2 linked regions of the Arabidopsis thaliana genome follow. Changing the gene in region 1 together with any one later gene gives a genetic interaction. Each region holds a gene or a part of one and is shown in the gene's direction. Other genes may lie near its edges.

Region 1 (10,133 bases):
CAAGGAGCGTATTATCTGCATCAACGGTCCCATTAATGACGACACATCTCACGTCGTCGTCGCTCAGCTTCTTTACCTCGAGTCTGAGAATCCTTCGAAGCCGATCCATATGTATCTCAATTCCCCTGGCGGCCATGTCACCGCCGGTACGCTTCCGCTTTCCATTTTCTATCTTTAGCTTCGTCAAAATTCGTACTAGTGTGATTCGGAATCAGATCGCTATATGCCACTGCTTTGTCAATTACTTGATATAGTTGAAACTTTGATACTGTTCGTTGATACTTGTTCTTCTGTGGATTTGTAACTTGATTCCTGCTACTAGTTTTAATGTCCACAGTCTCAAGAGTGTCTGGTTTGTGACGAGTTAACACTTTCTGAGTCTCAAATTGTTTGTTGTGAGTCTGTGACGCATCTTTAATCTTTGTCTTTGATACAGGTCTTGCAATTTATGATACTATGCAGTACATTCGTTCTCCTATTAGCACAATTTGTTTGGGTCAGGCTGCATCAATGGCTTCTCTTCTGTTGGCAGCGGGTGCCAAGGGGCAAAGGCGGTCACTTCCAAATGCAACTGTTATGATTCATCAGCCTTCAGGAGGATATAGTGGACAGGCTAAAGATATAACGATTCATACAAAACAGATTGTTCGTGTGTGGGATGCGTTAAATGAATTGTATGTCAAACACACGGGTCAACCTCTTGACGTGGTTGCGAATAACATGGATAGGGATCATTTCATGACTCCTGAAGAGGCTAAGGCGTTTGGAATAATCGATGAAGTGATTGATGAAAGACCGTTGGAGTTGGTGAAAGATGCAGTTGGAAATGAAAGCAAAGATAAGAGTTCAAGTTAGGAAGTAACTGGTAATCAAAGTAATAAATTTTCTTCTTTTCCTCTTACCAGTTTTGCTTTGATCCTGTTAGATTACTTTTTTCTATGGATGAAGTTATGCTCTGAGGGCATGATCTCTCAAACTGTTTTTATTCATTCATAAATCAATCATGACTATATTTCTGAAATCTTTTCCTCGCATGTTTAGTGTTTACAGTCTCATATCTGATTCAGTAAAATGAATATTGGATTAACGCTTGGCTTTGGGTCTTAATTTTATGTGCAGTTTGATGCATTGCAAATCTTTGATTTATGCATCATTTTATACTAACTAGAAAGTCTAAAATGATGAGATTATTGTCTAGTTTCAGAAACCCCAGTTCTAGTTGGTTAGTTTATGTTAGAAGATGGGGTTTGCTGTTTCCTTATGCTCTTGATCGATGTTCTTCGGTTTCATGTTTTTGCTTACCTCATCAAGTCAAAGCCACATCTATTCTGATTTGCCTCTTTTTATATAGAAGAAGTTAGAACACATCATATTCTTGTGTTAACACTGGTCTTTGATTATGCTCTTTGAATTAGGGACAGAATCTTAAGATCTTTATGAAAATTCTTGTACGGTGTTGTCTTGTCGTGTTGAGCTGAGCCTTCAATTGCTAGTGTTTGCTTCTGTTACTCTGAATTATATTTGGACAATCTCACTCTAATAAAAGTTTTTTAAATACTAGCAGAATTGTTAATTTATCCTATGGTTTACATGTTTATATGATTTTGTTGGTTCTATAATGTGTAAAAATGGAAAACATGATTTTTTTTTCCTTTTTTTTAAAAGTATAAATGGAAACGTGTAGGAAAGTGTAAACAAGAAAAGAGGACATAAATGACCCAATGACTTAATAATATATTTGGTTGAGACTTAGGAGTAGTGAGATTAAACTACAAAATAAGGTAAATTGGAAAATAAGGAAAAACCTTTTTCGATTTCGATCTCTCCTTGGTGAAAAAGGAAATTGAAAGGGGAAAAAACGCCGACAACAGTAAACCAAACTTCTCACAAAAACTCCTTGGAAAGTTTTCACCTTCTTTCAGCCCTAACCCCATCGTCTCTCTCTCGCGACCGCCTCATCTCTCTCTGTCTGGATCAATCTCGCTCTCTCTTTCTCTCGGCTACGTCGCTGTTTCTCGTTTCGTGATCCGTAGCTGTCTCCGCTACTACCTTAATCAGCGAGCTTCTTCCGGTGGAATAATCTTCGGATAGGAGGAATCGGAGAATTCTTCTAATTGGGTGTCTGGGTTGGATTGGAATACGTAATTCTGTTGGGTGTTCCAATTTCGCGTTCAAAATTAGGGTTTATAGAGGTCTCGCCTATGGCTCCTGGGCGTAAAAGAGGAGCGAGCAAGGCCAAAGCCAAAGGGCAGTTGGTTCTCGGTGATCTGGTTCTCGCCAAAGTCAAAGGCTTCCCTGCTTGGCCTGCCAAGGTGCGTTATCATTATGATTCCTCTATTGGGTTTTAATTTTTCTTACACAGATTCTTGTTTTTTTTGCTTCTTCTCTAATTGAATTCTCATATAGTCCTTAAGTCCATAGTCATCATCTTTAACTTGTTGGGTCTTCTGTTTTTATCGTTACGAATTCTAGAATACACATTAACTTCGTCGAATTGAGCTCTAGTGTGTTCTGTTTCTTTTTGTTGAGATACTAGGCTTCATGATTAAGTTGGTTTGAAAGTCAGTTAACTCATCTATCTAGTTACTCGGTCAGATTCCATGGTTGAATTATGAAACACACATGTTATTCATCTCGATAAATAATGAGCTTCCGAATCTCTCTAATACAATTCTCTTTAGTTAGTCTCTCTTGTGAAGTAATTTGGTTTTGAGTTTCAGATCAGCCGGCCTGAAGATTGGGATCGTGCGCCAGACCCAAAGAAGTACTTTGTTCAGTTCTTTGGAACAGAGGAAATGTAAGCTATTCTCTTTTATTCTTTGATTCTGGTACCTTCTCATCCAGAAAGGTATATGAACTTTAGTCAGTATATCATGTTGCTAGGAATTAAGTAGTAGACCTCGGTTATCAGGTGTTTCAACATGTTACCAAGTGTTTTTCTTTTTGGCTGACAATATCTTTGGAGTTGATTTTGTCTTTTACAAACTGATCATTGACAAAGTTATCTTCCTTTACTGCAGAGCTTTTGTTGCGCCACCTGATATCCAAGCCTTCACTAGTGAGGCAAAGAGCAAACTATTAGCAAGATGTCAAGGTAAAACTGTCAAGTACTTTGCACAAGCTGTAGAGCAAATCTGCACTGCATTTGAAGGGTTGCAGAATCACAAGTCAAATGCTTTGGGCGATGAGGATTCTCTGGATGCTACTGAACCTGGTTTGACAAAGGCTGAGATAGTGGATGGAACAGATCATATTGTCATTGAGTCTGAGAGAACTGATAACTTTAATTTTAGGGTGGATCCTTGCTTCCCCAAATTAGATGAGAATAATGGTGAGGAGAGAAAGGCTGAGATAAGGAAGCTAGATTCATCTTCATTTCTGGAATCAAAGGTCAAAACCACATCCCCTGTTAGCGAGTCACTGGAGCATAGTTCATTTGACCCTAAAATAAAGAAAGAAGATTTTGATAAAGGAACTGACGGTAGTGCTTGCAATGAACATTTTGGTAATGGCCAAAAGAAGCTGGCTAACGGTAAGAGAATTAAGAAGGAAGCAGGTGGCTCTGATAGAAAAGGTGAAGATACAGTTCATCGAGACAAAAGCAATAACTCACATGTGCCTGGTGGTCGAACTGCCAGTGGTAACTCTGATTCCAAAAAATCGAAAGGTCTGTTGACAGAGAAAACCAGCTCCAAAGTGTCTGCTGATAAGCATGAAAATTCACCTGGCATCAAGGTTGGGGTTTCCGGAAAGAAAAGGAGGCTTGAAAGTGAACAAGGTAAGCTTGCACCAAGAGTAGATGAAAGCTCACGTGCTGCTAAAAAGCCGCGATGTGAAAGTGCAGACAATAAAGTAAAGTGTGAAATTGATGATGGATCTGATTCTACTGGGACTGTATCAGATATTAAGCGTGAAATTGTTTTAGGATTAGGTGCTCGCGGTGGAAATTTTCAATATGATAAAGAAGCAGTTGCATATACAAAGCGCCAGAGACAGACAATGGAGCATGCTACCTCTCCTTCTTTTTCTGGGTCTCGTGATAAATCTGGGAAAGGTCATCTGGAACAGAAAGACCGTTCCTCTCCTGTTCGTAATGTTAAGGCTCCAGCTGCACAGTCGCTGAAAAAACGGAGGGCTGTTTGTATCTACGACGAAGATGATGATGAAGATCCAAAAACCCCATTACATGGAAAACCAGCCATTGTTCCCCAAGCAGCATCTGTTTTGACTGATGGTCCTAAAAGGGCTAATGTGTGTCACAGTACTTCTACAAAAGCTAAGATATCTGCTGGATCTACAGAGAGTACTGAAGTAAGAAAGTTCCCTCTGCGTAAACATTGTGAGGATGCATCACGTGTATTACCAAGCAATGCGGAGAATTCTACTAATAGCTTACCTGTGGTAAAACCCATTAATGAATTGCCGCCAAAGGATGTCAAACAGATCTTGCAATCTCCGAAGATGTCCCCTCAGCTGGTTTTAACTAACAAGCACGTTGCAGGACAGCATAAAGTTGTAAAATCATCGGTGAAAGTTTCTGGTGTTGTGATGGCAAAGAAGCCTCAAAGTGATTCTTGTAAGGAGGCGGTTGCGGGATCTGACAAAATAAGCTCTTCTCAGTCTCAGCCAGCAAATCAGAGACACAAATCAGCTTCAGTTGGAGAGAGGCTAACAGTGGTTTCAAAAGCTGCATCACGTTTGAATGACTCTGGTTCAAGAGACATGTCTGAGGACTTGTCTGCTGCTATGTATGTCACATTCTATCTGTCATCTTTTTGTGTGTATGTCGCCTACTGCTTATAATTATTCTTTTCTTGCAGGCTTGACCTCAATAGAGAAAAGGGGAGTGCTACATTTACCAGTGCAAAGACCCCAGATTCGGCTGCATCTATGAAGGATCTAATTGCTGCTGCGCAGGCAAAAAGAAAACTTGCACATACACAAAATTCAATTTTTGGGAATTTGAACCCTAGTTTCTTGAGCATCAGTGATACACAGGGGAGGAGCCATAGCCCATTTATGGTTCAGAATGCTTCAGCTTCTGCTGCCATCTCAATGCCGTTAGTTGTTCAAGGTCATCATCAACAAGGTTCTTCTCCGTCAAATCATGGGCATCAGTCCTTATCAAGAAATCAGATTGAGACTGATGATAATGAAGAGAGAAGACTTAGTTCAGGGCATAAGTCAGTTGGAGGTTCACTTAGTTGTAGCACTGAGGCTGCTATTTCTCGGGATGCTTTTGAAGGCATGTTAGAGACCTTATCAAGAACCAGGGAAAGTATTGGACGTGCAACTCGCCTAGCAATTGATTGTGCCAAGTATGGGCTTGCTAGTGAGGTAAGATGGTTGGTTGGTTTTTCATTATGTTTTTTCTTAAGGCTTCGACAAACTTATTGTTAGGCTGCACATATCAAATCAATTTAGAATTGCACTTATTCTGGCTTTACTTCTTGGATGTTTAGCTTGCTACGTAAATTGCTTTCTCAAAATTATTTACAGCATTTGGTGCGTAATATTGTTCAGACAATAGTTGCTTTAATTGGAAATTTGTTTGTGTTTTTATCTAGGTGGTGGAACTTCTCATACGAAAGTTGGAAAGTGAATCTCACTTCCATCGTAAAGTGGACTTGTTCTTTCTCGTCGACTCTATCACCCAGCATTCGCACAGCCAAAAAGGTGAGCTTTCCTCTTGGATAGATGCAATACCTGTTCTCAAATTTTCACTTCCTTCCCTGAAATGCTAATAATACCGTATTTATTAGCATTTCAGGGAAGTAAAAAATTCACAAGCATTGTTGTATTGTTTTTTACTGTATACAAAGAGAACACCTAATATATTTATTATCATTAAAGATTAAATAATTTCCAGTGCTTGTGAATTTTGTAGGTATTGCTGGTGCTTCTTACGTTCCTACTGTGCAAGCTGCTTTGCCACGTCTTTTAGGTGCCGCTGCTCCTCCAGGGACTGGTGCTAGTGATAACCGTCGTAAATGTCTGAAGGTATTTAAACTATTTGCTTGTTTCTATGTTATCCTTACAGTTTTGTAGGCTGGAGTCAGTGACCTCTTTGTTTTTTTAGGTCCTGAAGTTGTGGCTTGAAAGGAAAGTTTTCCCTGAATCTCTTCTGCGTCGTTATATTGATGATATTAGAGCTTCTGGTGATGATGCAACTGGTGGGTTTTCCCTGCGACGTCCTTCTAGATCTGAGCGTGCTGTAGATGATCCTATCAGGGAAATGGAAGGGATGCTTGTTGATGAGTATGGCAGGTATGCTAAACGATTGTCTTGCTTAGTAGTGTACTCTCCGGATTATATATGTTGCTGATGAAAAAATAACAGGCAAGGTCTGTTGCCATTCTGTAGAGGGTTTATTAACTTGTTTGTCGTTTTTTCTGCAGCAATGCAACGTTTCAGCTGCCAGGGTTTTTTTCATCTCATAATTTTGAAGATGATGAAGAAGATGACGATCTTCCAACATCACAAAAAGAAAAAAGCACATCTGCGGGGGAACGTGTCAGTGCTTTAGACGACCTGGAAATACATGATACCTCGAGTGATAAATGCCATCGAGTTTTGGAGGATGTCGATCATGAACTTGAAATGGAAGATGTATCAGGCCAGCGGAAAGATGTAGCACCTTCCTCTTTCTGTGAGAATAAGACAAAGGAGCAATCACTGGATGTTATGGAACCTGTTGCAGAAAAATCAACCGAGTTCAATCCTCTTCCAGAGGATTCTCCTCCGCTACCTCAGGAATCACCTCCCCCTCTCCCTCCTCTACCACCTTCTCCCCCACCTCCATCCCCTCCTCTCCCGCCATCATCTCTGCCACCACCGCCTCCCGCAGCGCTGTTCCCACCTCTTCCACCACCTCCGTCTCAGCCTCCTCCACCACCACTTTCACCTCCACCTTCACCGCCGCCTCCACCTCCACCGCCTTCACAATCATTAACAACTCAACTCTCCATAGCTAGCCATCATCAGATACCATTTCAACCAGGATTTCCTCCCCCAACATATCCTTTATCGCATCAAACATACCCAGGATCTATGCAGCAAGACCGCTCTAGTATTTTCACCGTGAGTTCTTTGATTTGTTATGTTTCATTTTACTCATGATTCCTCACTATACATATGCATCTTTTATCATTTTTGTTTAAACCCCCTGGACATCATGTGCAGGGTGATCAAATTGTCCAGGGGCCTGGAAATTCTTCACGTGGAGGTCTTGTTGAGGGCGCTGGAAAACCCGAATATTTTGTGCAGCAGTCCTCCAGTTTTTCACCAGCAGGAGTGTGCAGCTCCAGGGAGCCTTCATCATTTACTTCCTCCAGACAACTAGAATTTGGGAACAGCGATGTACTTTTCAATCCTGAAGCTTCTTCACAGAACCATCGGTTTCAGCCGAGCACCCCTCTGTCCCAAAGACCTATGGTTAGGTTGCCTTCAGCACCGTCCAGTCATTTTTCGTATCCAAGCCATATTCAATCACAATCTCAGCATTCCTACACTCATCCTTACCCTTTCCCACCTCAACGTGATGATGCACGGCGATACAGAAATGAGGAACCATGGCGGATTCCTTCAAGTGGACATAGTGCAGAAAATCAGAATGGTGCCTGGATACATGGAAGAAATTCACATCCAGGCCTTCCTAGAGTCACAGACAGTATGTAGATGCTTAAATCCTAATAGACCCTTTACCTGTTAAGGTTTATTAACTTGCATGATTGCTTGTGGAGTTGTAATCATTGTGATACTTCTGTTGACTATGATTGTCTAGCTTGTATGTTAATGCCATGGCTTAGTTCCTTGAAATTGATGGTCTTATTTGCAATTCTACAGGTTTCTTTCGGCCACCTCCAGAACGTCCACCTTCAGGGACAATGAACTATCAGCCTTCTGCTGCTAGTAACTTACAAGCTGTCCCTGCAATTCCAGGTGAGACTATATTAGTCAATTCGTCTGATTGTAGACTCTCAAAGATACAGTCAGAAACCTTTGTGCTTACCCTACCATTTTAAATTACCAATTTAAGGTCATACTGCTCCCCAGATGCTACCGTCTCGGCCAGATATACCTACCGTGAATTGTTGGAGGCCAGCTTGAAGTGAAGGTAGAATTTTGTTGGCCTGCTCCTGTTAGTATCAATGGAAAAGAAGCTGCTAGTGTCTCATTAACAAGGTTAATCCTCTAGGTTTGGTTTTCTAAATACTAAAGTCAAGTCTTTTATCAGTGTTGTCATCAAACAGTTACAGTTATACTACTTTCTCTTCCATGGAGGCCTTTTTCGGATATATCCACTTCCAGAGGCACAAAAACTACTGCAGGCTTTTGCCAGGATTCTGTATATTGTATTTTTTTCCTGACAAATGTATCTGTGGATCATATTCTTAACAGTATAGGTTCTTTTTTTATTGGTTAGTACTTCAGTTCCTGTAATTATGCCAATCACAATTTGCTCAAAGCTTTTACTGGAATGATTTGATCTTCATAGTCAAACATAGTTTTTTTTTTCAGTTTTTGGGCTCTGTAATCTTTGCTGGTCTCTGAGAATGATTAATGAATACACTATTAAGAGTGTCCTTGACTAGTGGAGCAGTCGTAGGTGGCAAGAATATTCAGTGCAAGCCTGAGTTTTCTCCCTTGTTGGTTCCTAGACTAGAGACCTATTGCTTAGTCTGTATCCTGTTCTTTCAATGAGTAACGTCTCTTTAGGTCTACATATATGTTAGCTGCAATTGTAGGTATAACTACTTTCTCCAATGCTTATTTCTTTGTTCTGGAGATAAGTTATGTCTCGCTGCCTCATATTTTTAGCAGGAACAAGAAGCATCCATTTCTAAAAAATTGTGATCCAGTCTGTCCATTTTACAAGAATCTCCATACTGATATCTTGTGCATTGCTGATCTGAAGAAACATGTCGAAGACTTGTGAGGTACTGGTTTCTATATGTTTGTCTGAAAATATATGTTCTAAGCTCAAACCATGTGCTAGTGACATAACGAGGTTTTGCTTTATAATTATGGTTAGCACTTGATAAAGTGTTTTCTCCATTTGATCTCTCAGAAGAACCATTTTCTTTTCGTTTCTTCTTTAAGTATATATTCGAATGTTAGCAGATAGAAAATAAGAGGAGGAAAAGTGAGAAAGGATTCGAATTACCTTGATATTAGCTTATGATGTTCATTGCTTGGCGTATAATCTGTTCAAAATAACACTATTCTTAATTTGTTTTGTTAAACATGTGTTTGCGGATGCCTCACACGCCTGTCTTGTTCAATTGGCATGAACATACCTGTTTAAGTGGTTGTGGGGCTTCGTGAATATGTGTTACTTTTTAGGCTGTGCTCGATAGCTTTATTTGTAGTTTTTGGTTTTGAAGAAGCTGTTGTTATCATACATATATCTTCAAAGTGGTTTTGCCTTTCTGTCATAGTTGGGTTTGTGGCGTTAGATACTTCTTGCTTGCTCTTTGACATATATCTCTTGGTTTTGGTACCACAGTTTGATGCTTTGATATATGGCACTTTGTCTTAACCACTAGATACGGTCAAGATAAACGAGTAGCCTCTCTTTGTCATTGGTTATTTTACTCAGCGTATATAGTCTCTTGGTCTTTTTGCTTGTTCTGTTAAGCACGTTCAAAGGTGGGGGGAACCAGTTAGACACTTAAGTCTCATCACATGTTTCATGATGAACAGCATGAGGTATGCTTAAGAACATAACAGTTTGATGTTGATAAAGAAGTATCAGTGATTGAGAGGGAATCTGTATTTGATGTTTAATTGTCTTTAAGACACAGTCGACTTGTTTTGAGGGAATTAATCAAGTCGATTGACATATTTTCGTAAGAGTACTCACCAAAGAAATTACATTATTTGCATCAGCAGAAGATCAAGTATACGTGTGAGGGTTTTGTCAGATCAGTCTTCCATAATACTTACCTACTTGCTCTGCATTAAGTCGCCTGTTATTTTGTTGTGTTATCAAATGCCTTTGGGGATATGTTTGGATGTACTTGTATTTGTCTTGACTTCAATTGCGAGAAAATGTCTTCTTAAAGGTGTTGAGTGACTTACGTCTTGCAACAGGCCTTTGGTACAGAGCTGAACCATCTGGAACTTTGGCA
Region 2 (5,065 bases), on another chromosome or scaffold:
ATGCAATTTGCACTTTGGATCTTACAAGTCAGAAAATCCTTAACCCTTTAATATAAAACGTTCCTGCCAATTTTATATTACACACCTCTCTCTATTCTTTGGTAAGTGGGTATCAAAAAATAACATTTATCATTCTTTGTATACTACACAAGGCTGTTATGTAACAAACCAATAAATCAACTTTATATATACTATGAGATTTGTATCATTTGTATGCTGGGAAGAGCTTATTACTTTAAATTTTTTTTTATATAAATCTTATTATCTTCTTAATAGTATTTCTTACAAAAACAATTGAGAATTTCTACTCATTTTTTTCCATCATTTATGAGAACCTTATGTAAACAGGTGTTGACATCTGAATCAAATTGAACCGAGATGGTTCGGTTTGGTTCGGTTTTGGGTTTGGTTAAATTGAGAAACCTGAATTATGCAGCGACCAAGATCTTATTCTCTGTTCTGTCTTTTCAACACTCGAGTCTGTCTGTCTGTCTCTTCTACGCAGCCGCGACTCCTTCTGTCTCCACCGCTCTATAATCTCCCCTGCGATCAATAAGGACATTTTCTCCGGTAAAGTCTCTATCTTTCTTCGTCTCTATCATTTCGCTTTGTGTTTCGTGTCACCTACATTTGATAAACCCTAGAGAGAAACAAATTGAGTGCCTTTCGAAATCGCAGAAGCACATTGTTAAAATTCGATTGATGGGTCATTGTTTTATTACACGTAATCTATTTCTGTTGATGAAATTAGGTCTATTAAAGATGTGATTTTGATATTTGGGGTCTCACAGCTTTTTTGAAAAAGCTTACACATTTTGTTTGAATTTGTCATTGTTGTTGTAGATGGAAGAGAGTGATGCTGTTCCAAAACCAGTTGTTGTTGATCCTCCATTATACGACGAAGCTTCTCCGTCAGCTTCTCAGCGCCGTCCGGTGGTGATCGCCGCCGATGCAGCTCCTCCGGCAGAAAATCATCTCATTCAAAGGATTCAAAGAGCTCTTGTGGAATTGCGCGAGTTGAGAAATCAGTTTAATGCCATTCTTAGGGAACTAGAATTCGAAGGTTTGTGTGTGTTTCATCTTCCTATTCTACGTTGTGTTTTCTAGAAAAAGAGATAAACAATTTTGATGATAATGCAGTGGGAGAAGAAGAAGAGCAAGCGGAATCATCAGTGGAAGATCCAGAGGACTCTGATTCTTAGTTTGTTTATTAGACTTTTTTTTTTTGTTTCTTCACTAGTAACCTATTTCTATCATGTTTCTATCTCTCTGCCCCTCATGATTTCCTGCGGTAATTATCTTTATCACTCTAAATCATCAAAGCCAACCCTTAACAGATCAATAAGTCTACTAAAAGAGAAATTACAAGTTTTTTTGAAGGAAGAATCAAACACATTCCACATAACATATAATATGCAGTTGTCTATCGTAAATGTTTTACCTTGACAATGGTTTTCGCAAGTAACGCATAATGGTCGAGAAACATTACATTTGCGACGAATTTGAACCTTATTCCCATATATCTCGAGAAGGTGACATTGCTTCATTTATGGGTATTCACCAAATAAGCATTCAATATGAATGGTAGTAATAAAGATTACCACTCGTACTTCTATGAACTTGGATTCAAGTTAGAGCCATTGTGAGTCCACTTCTGAATCTTTCCACTTACCAACCCATTTAGATGTTGCAGAATTACCATTTCTATTGGTTTTCCTATCTGCTTCTTTATCTTTGAGAAGCCAGCTTAAGTTTTAGCGCATTTAGCTCTTATTGCAAGATTGCATTGTGTCATAAAAGGTCGTTCTAAGTAAAATCTGGCACATGTTTTTCCAGTTAGTGGATTCATTTGTGAAACAGTTTGGAAAATGTTGCGGTTAAGAACTGTATTGCCAAAAATAAATTAAATGTTTTTCATCATTACTCATTGGTGACTGAAATGAATTGAGGTCCCTATACTCTTATTGCTTCTCAGCATCGAGTTGTTTGTGCATCACCATTGTCATGACTCATGATTTTTAGAATCATTTATGCAATTCATCATCTTAATCATTATCATTATAGGATGATTGTATCATATATAACAGTCGAAAGGGAAGGGCCAAAAAAAGTGAAATAAAGTTTTGTTCTTTGTAATGGAAGAAAAAGTTGGGAGGAGAATCATGGTTTCACTATGGTTCTTTGGAATTTTGATTTTGGTAGTTAGTGCCCAGGTTCCGGGAACCAAATTCTGATCATACTACAAAAAAATATCTTGCGGATTATTGTAGCTCTTGTCTTGCATAACATGAAGCTTGGAATTAACTAAAGAAAGTTTCTTAGAGATTCTTCTTCTTGTTTGTTCTCTAAAGAATCTAACACTCTTTGTAATGTTTATCTAAACTTGGAACTAATTAGATGTGAAACACTACAATTCATTAAACATGAGATCATGCGTATAGGAATTTGGTTCCTGCTGCACCGTGGCAAGTCGTACACCATATACCTTTTTCCCTATTTTATTCATATTTTACTTTATATTCACTTTACAATAAATATCTTTAGATATTTCTACAATAAGATCCTTATCTCTCTCCATGGTTTAATTAAAAATAAATCCAAGAAAAGTGCATAAAAAGATATGTACTTTTTATTCCTCTACCCAATCACTTCACAGCTTCACTCACGCGCGTGTTCTTTGATATCAGATAGATACGTCTACGTGAGATACACGCTCTTGTTAATCAAGTGGTGATGAAACAGAACTTACTCGCCTCGGTGTCCGATTCTACTCAGAAGATATTTACTATAAATATCTGATTTCTCTCGACTTTGACGAAAATCAAAAAGAGAGAAAAACACAATTAAAAATTATTATGAAGAGGAACGGCGAGACGAAACGGCGGAGGAACGTGGCGGAGGAGGCAGAGCAGGGAGAGGATCCGGCGATGTGGGAGAATCTTGACCGGAATTTCAGACAAGTGCAATCAGTTTTAGACAGAAACAGATCACTGATTCAACAAGTCAACGACAATCACCAATCGAGAATGGCTGATAACATGTCGAAGAACGTTGCTTTGATTCAAGAACTCAACGGAAACATTTCCAAGGTTGTTAACATGTATTCTGATCTCAATACTAGTTTCTCGTCGGGCTTTCACGGTGGGAAGAACGGTCACGATGGTGGTGGTGCTGCCGGAACTAGAGCTTAATGAACCGGAATCAAATTGTTTCTTCTTAGTTGGACCGGCCGGTTTGAGAATTTTGAATCTGTCCGGTTCAAGCTATGATATAAAGTAAATGTTTAGTTTTTGTATTGCAATGATGATTGTCGTTAGAATAATCCGTGGGAGCAAACCCATCTCTATTGGGGTTATTTTAGTTATGGTTTTGAGTCTTTTTCAATGTGTCTCTACTGCAATCTCTCTAATGATTATAATAATAATTGATACAGTATTAGATTACTTCTGGTTTGATTCTATTTAGAGACTTTTCTCATGTGACCTTGATAATAAATGAAGGCTTGTGGTTAGATTGTTGCAACTTGGAGTAAGTAATTTCGTCACATAGTGATGCAATTTGGTATGACATGTTAAATACAGTTGTTTTCTAGTGACTTTTCACTAGGCTGTGTATTAGAGAACTCTAGCATAGAAAATTTCTACGTTGTGACAATATTCATTTCCATCAAAAAGCAAACAGAAACTGCAGTAAAATAAATGTTGATACATGAGATCATGATCTAAAACCCAGGCAAACTATTTCGGCATTCATATACCACTAGAAAGCAAAGATCTTAAGAAGACGAAAGAGCTTTTGCACAAAAAGGACTAAAAAGAAGCATAGTTATTTGAAAGGGGACAAATGGCCAATTTCATATCAAAACATGAACTATCAAACCTATAAGTTTTTTTTGGGATTAAAATGGCATATGAAGAGGTTTAAAGTGATTAGCTCTGCTGTGACTGAGTAAATTTATGATTTCACTACTTTTTCTTGTAAACTTCTTGTACCTTATATTCTCAGTCATCATAAAATAGCAAATTCTTGCTCTCTTTGTGTGTGTAATATGGTATATATAAGGAAATTATGTACGATACTTTGTAACATTTGAATTTGATTTTTCTGTTGAGCATTAAGAATTTTGTTCTTCGTGAGAAAAAATATTTCATACAAAAACGATTCAAAACCATTACAAACTTACTTTGTCTAAGCAGGAAAAATAATTGATGGTCGAAAAGGATAAAAAAACAGAGGTCACATTAATATCAAACTAAACAATTGAAAGAAAACAACTACTTGGGCCTGATGGGGTTTGTCGGGCTCGCAAGAATCGACTGCTTGTTGGAGTTGATGTCATTAAGCAGTTTGCACTTGGCTTAATTTGGACTGTGGTGGACATAAGATGTGTTAGATTAGAAACATTACAACACTGATATGGTTGATGTTATTCTTGAATCATGACTCATGAGGATACATTTTCATTTATATTGTTTACTCTTTAATCTTTATATAGAAGAGGATACATTTTCATATCATTAGATGTAATTGACATATTAAAGATTGTGTGATTGTAAGGATTTTGAAGTAACTTATATTCCTTTTTTTAGGAAATACACCACATGATCAAATCTATCTTCAACGTTTTCGTGTCATAATACTTCATTTATGACAAAATTCTCTGTACCATTTTGACAACTACTGGCTTTGTCTTCTCCAAACACTTTGTTTTCAACATGATGGTGTTCATCAGTTATGTGATGGTGGTGACAATGACATTGTACATGCCCTTGACCATATAAATCGTAGGAGAAATATCTGTCCTTTTATATTATCTTGTCTTACTGGACCATTGAATTTTTTTGTCTCTTTCATCAGATTAAGTTATGTAAACCTTTTTTCTTCATAGAAGTTCTTATATGAGCTTTTTCTTTTTTCCTCAAGAAGAAGATTACACGGGTATACATACTAGAGATAGAGGTACAGAGGCTAATCTCTTGACTTGTAGGCTTGAGCCTAGGGAAGACAAATGAAGGTGCAGTGTATTCCAAATTAGCAACATCTAAAATTTAGGATTTTGCCCTAC

What was found. Genes that interact genetically often act in the same process or in processes that back each other up.
Region 2: of HUA2 (region 1) and ELF4, changing one enhances a phenotype caused by changing the other (phenotypic enhancement), as found in Arabidopsis thaliana (one study listed by BioGRID).

Annotation. Positions count from the first base shown.
Region 1 is NC_003076.8:7,783,972-7,794,104, forward strand, and holds HUA2 (Tudor/PWWP/MBT domain-containing protein), read left to right. Parts: upstream 1-1,863; 5' UTR 1,864-2,201; coding exon 2,202-2,312; intron 2,313-2,720; coding exon 2,721-2,797; intron 2,798-3,020; coding exon 3,021-4,748; intron 4,749-4,820; coding exon 4,821-5,337; intron 5,338-5,567; coding exon 5,568-5,676; intron 5,677-5,887; coding exon 5,888-6,000; intron 6,001-6,079; coding exon 6,080-6,267; intron 6,268-6,398; coding exon 6,399-7,080; intron 7,081-7,182; coding exon 7,183-7,669; coding exon of another isoform or gene 7,670-7,677; exon of another isoform or gene 7,678-7,845; coding exon 7,846-7,941; intron 7,942-8,038; coding exon 8,039-8,109; 3' UTR 8,110-8,184; exon of another isoform or gene 8,185-8,723; intron 8,724-8,760; exon of another isoform or gene 8,761-8,820; 3' UTR 8,821-9,020; downstream 9,021-10,133. Other genes in the region: NCLPP7 (nuclear-encoded CLP protease P7), read left to right, coding at 1-146, 437-855. UniProt on the Arabidopsis thaliana protein: Transcription factor that functions as a repressor of flowering by enhancing the expression of several genes that delay flowering including FLC, FLM/MAF1, MAF2 and SVP.
Region 2 is NC_003071.7:16,732,671-16,737,735, reverse strand, and holds ELF4 (EARLY FLOWERING-like protein (DUF1313)), read left to right. Parts: upstream 1-2,823; 5' UTR 2,824-2,855; coding exon 2,856-3,191; 3' UTR 3,192-3,442; downstream 3,443-5,065. Other genes in the region: ATH9 (ABC2 homolog 9), read left to right, coding at 1-51; AT2G40085 (uncharacterized protein), read left to right, coding at 844-1,063, 1,141-1,202. UniProt on the Arabidopsis thaliana protein: Component of the central CCA1/LHY-TOC1 feedback loop in the circadian clock that promotes clock accuracy and is required for sustained rhythms in the absence of daily light/dark cycles.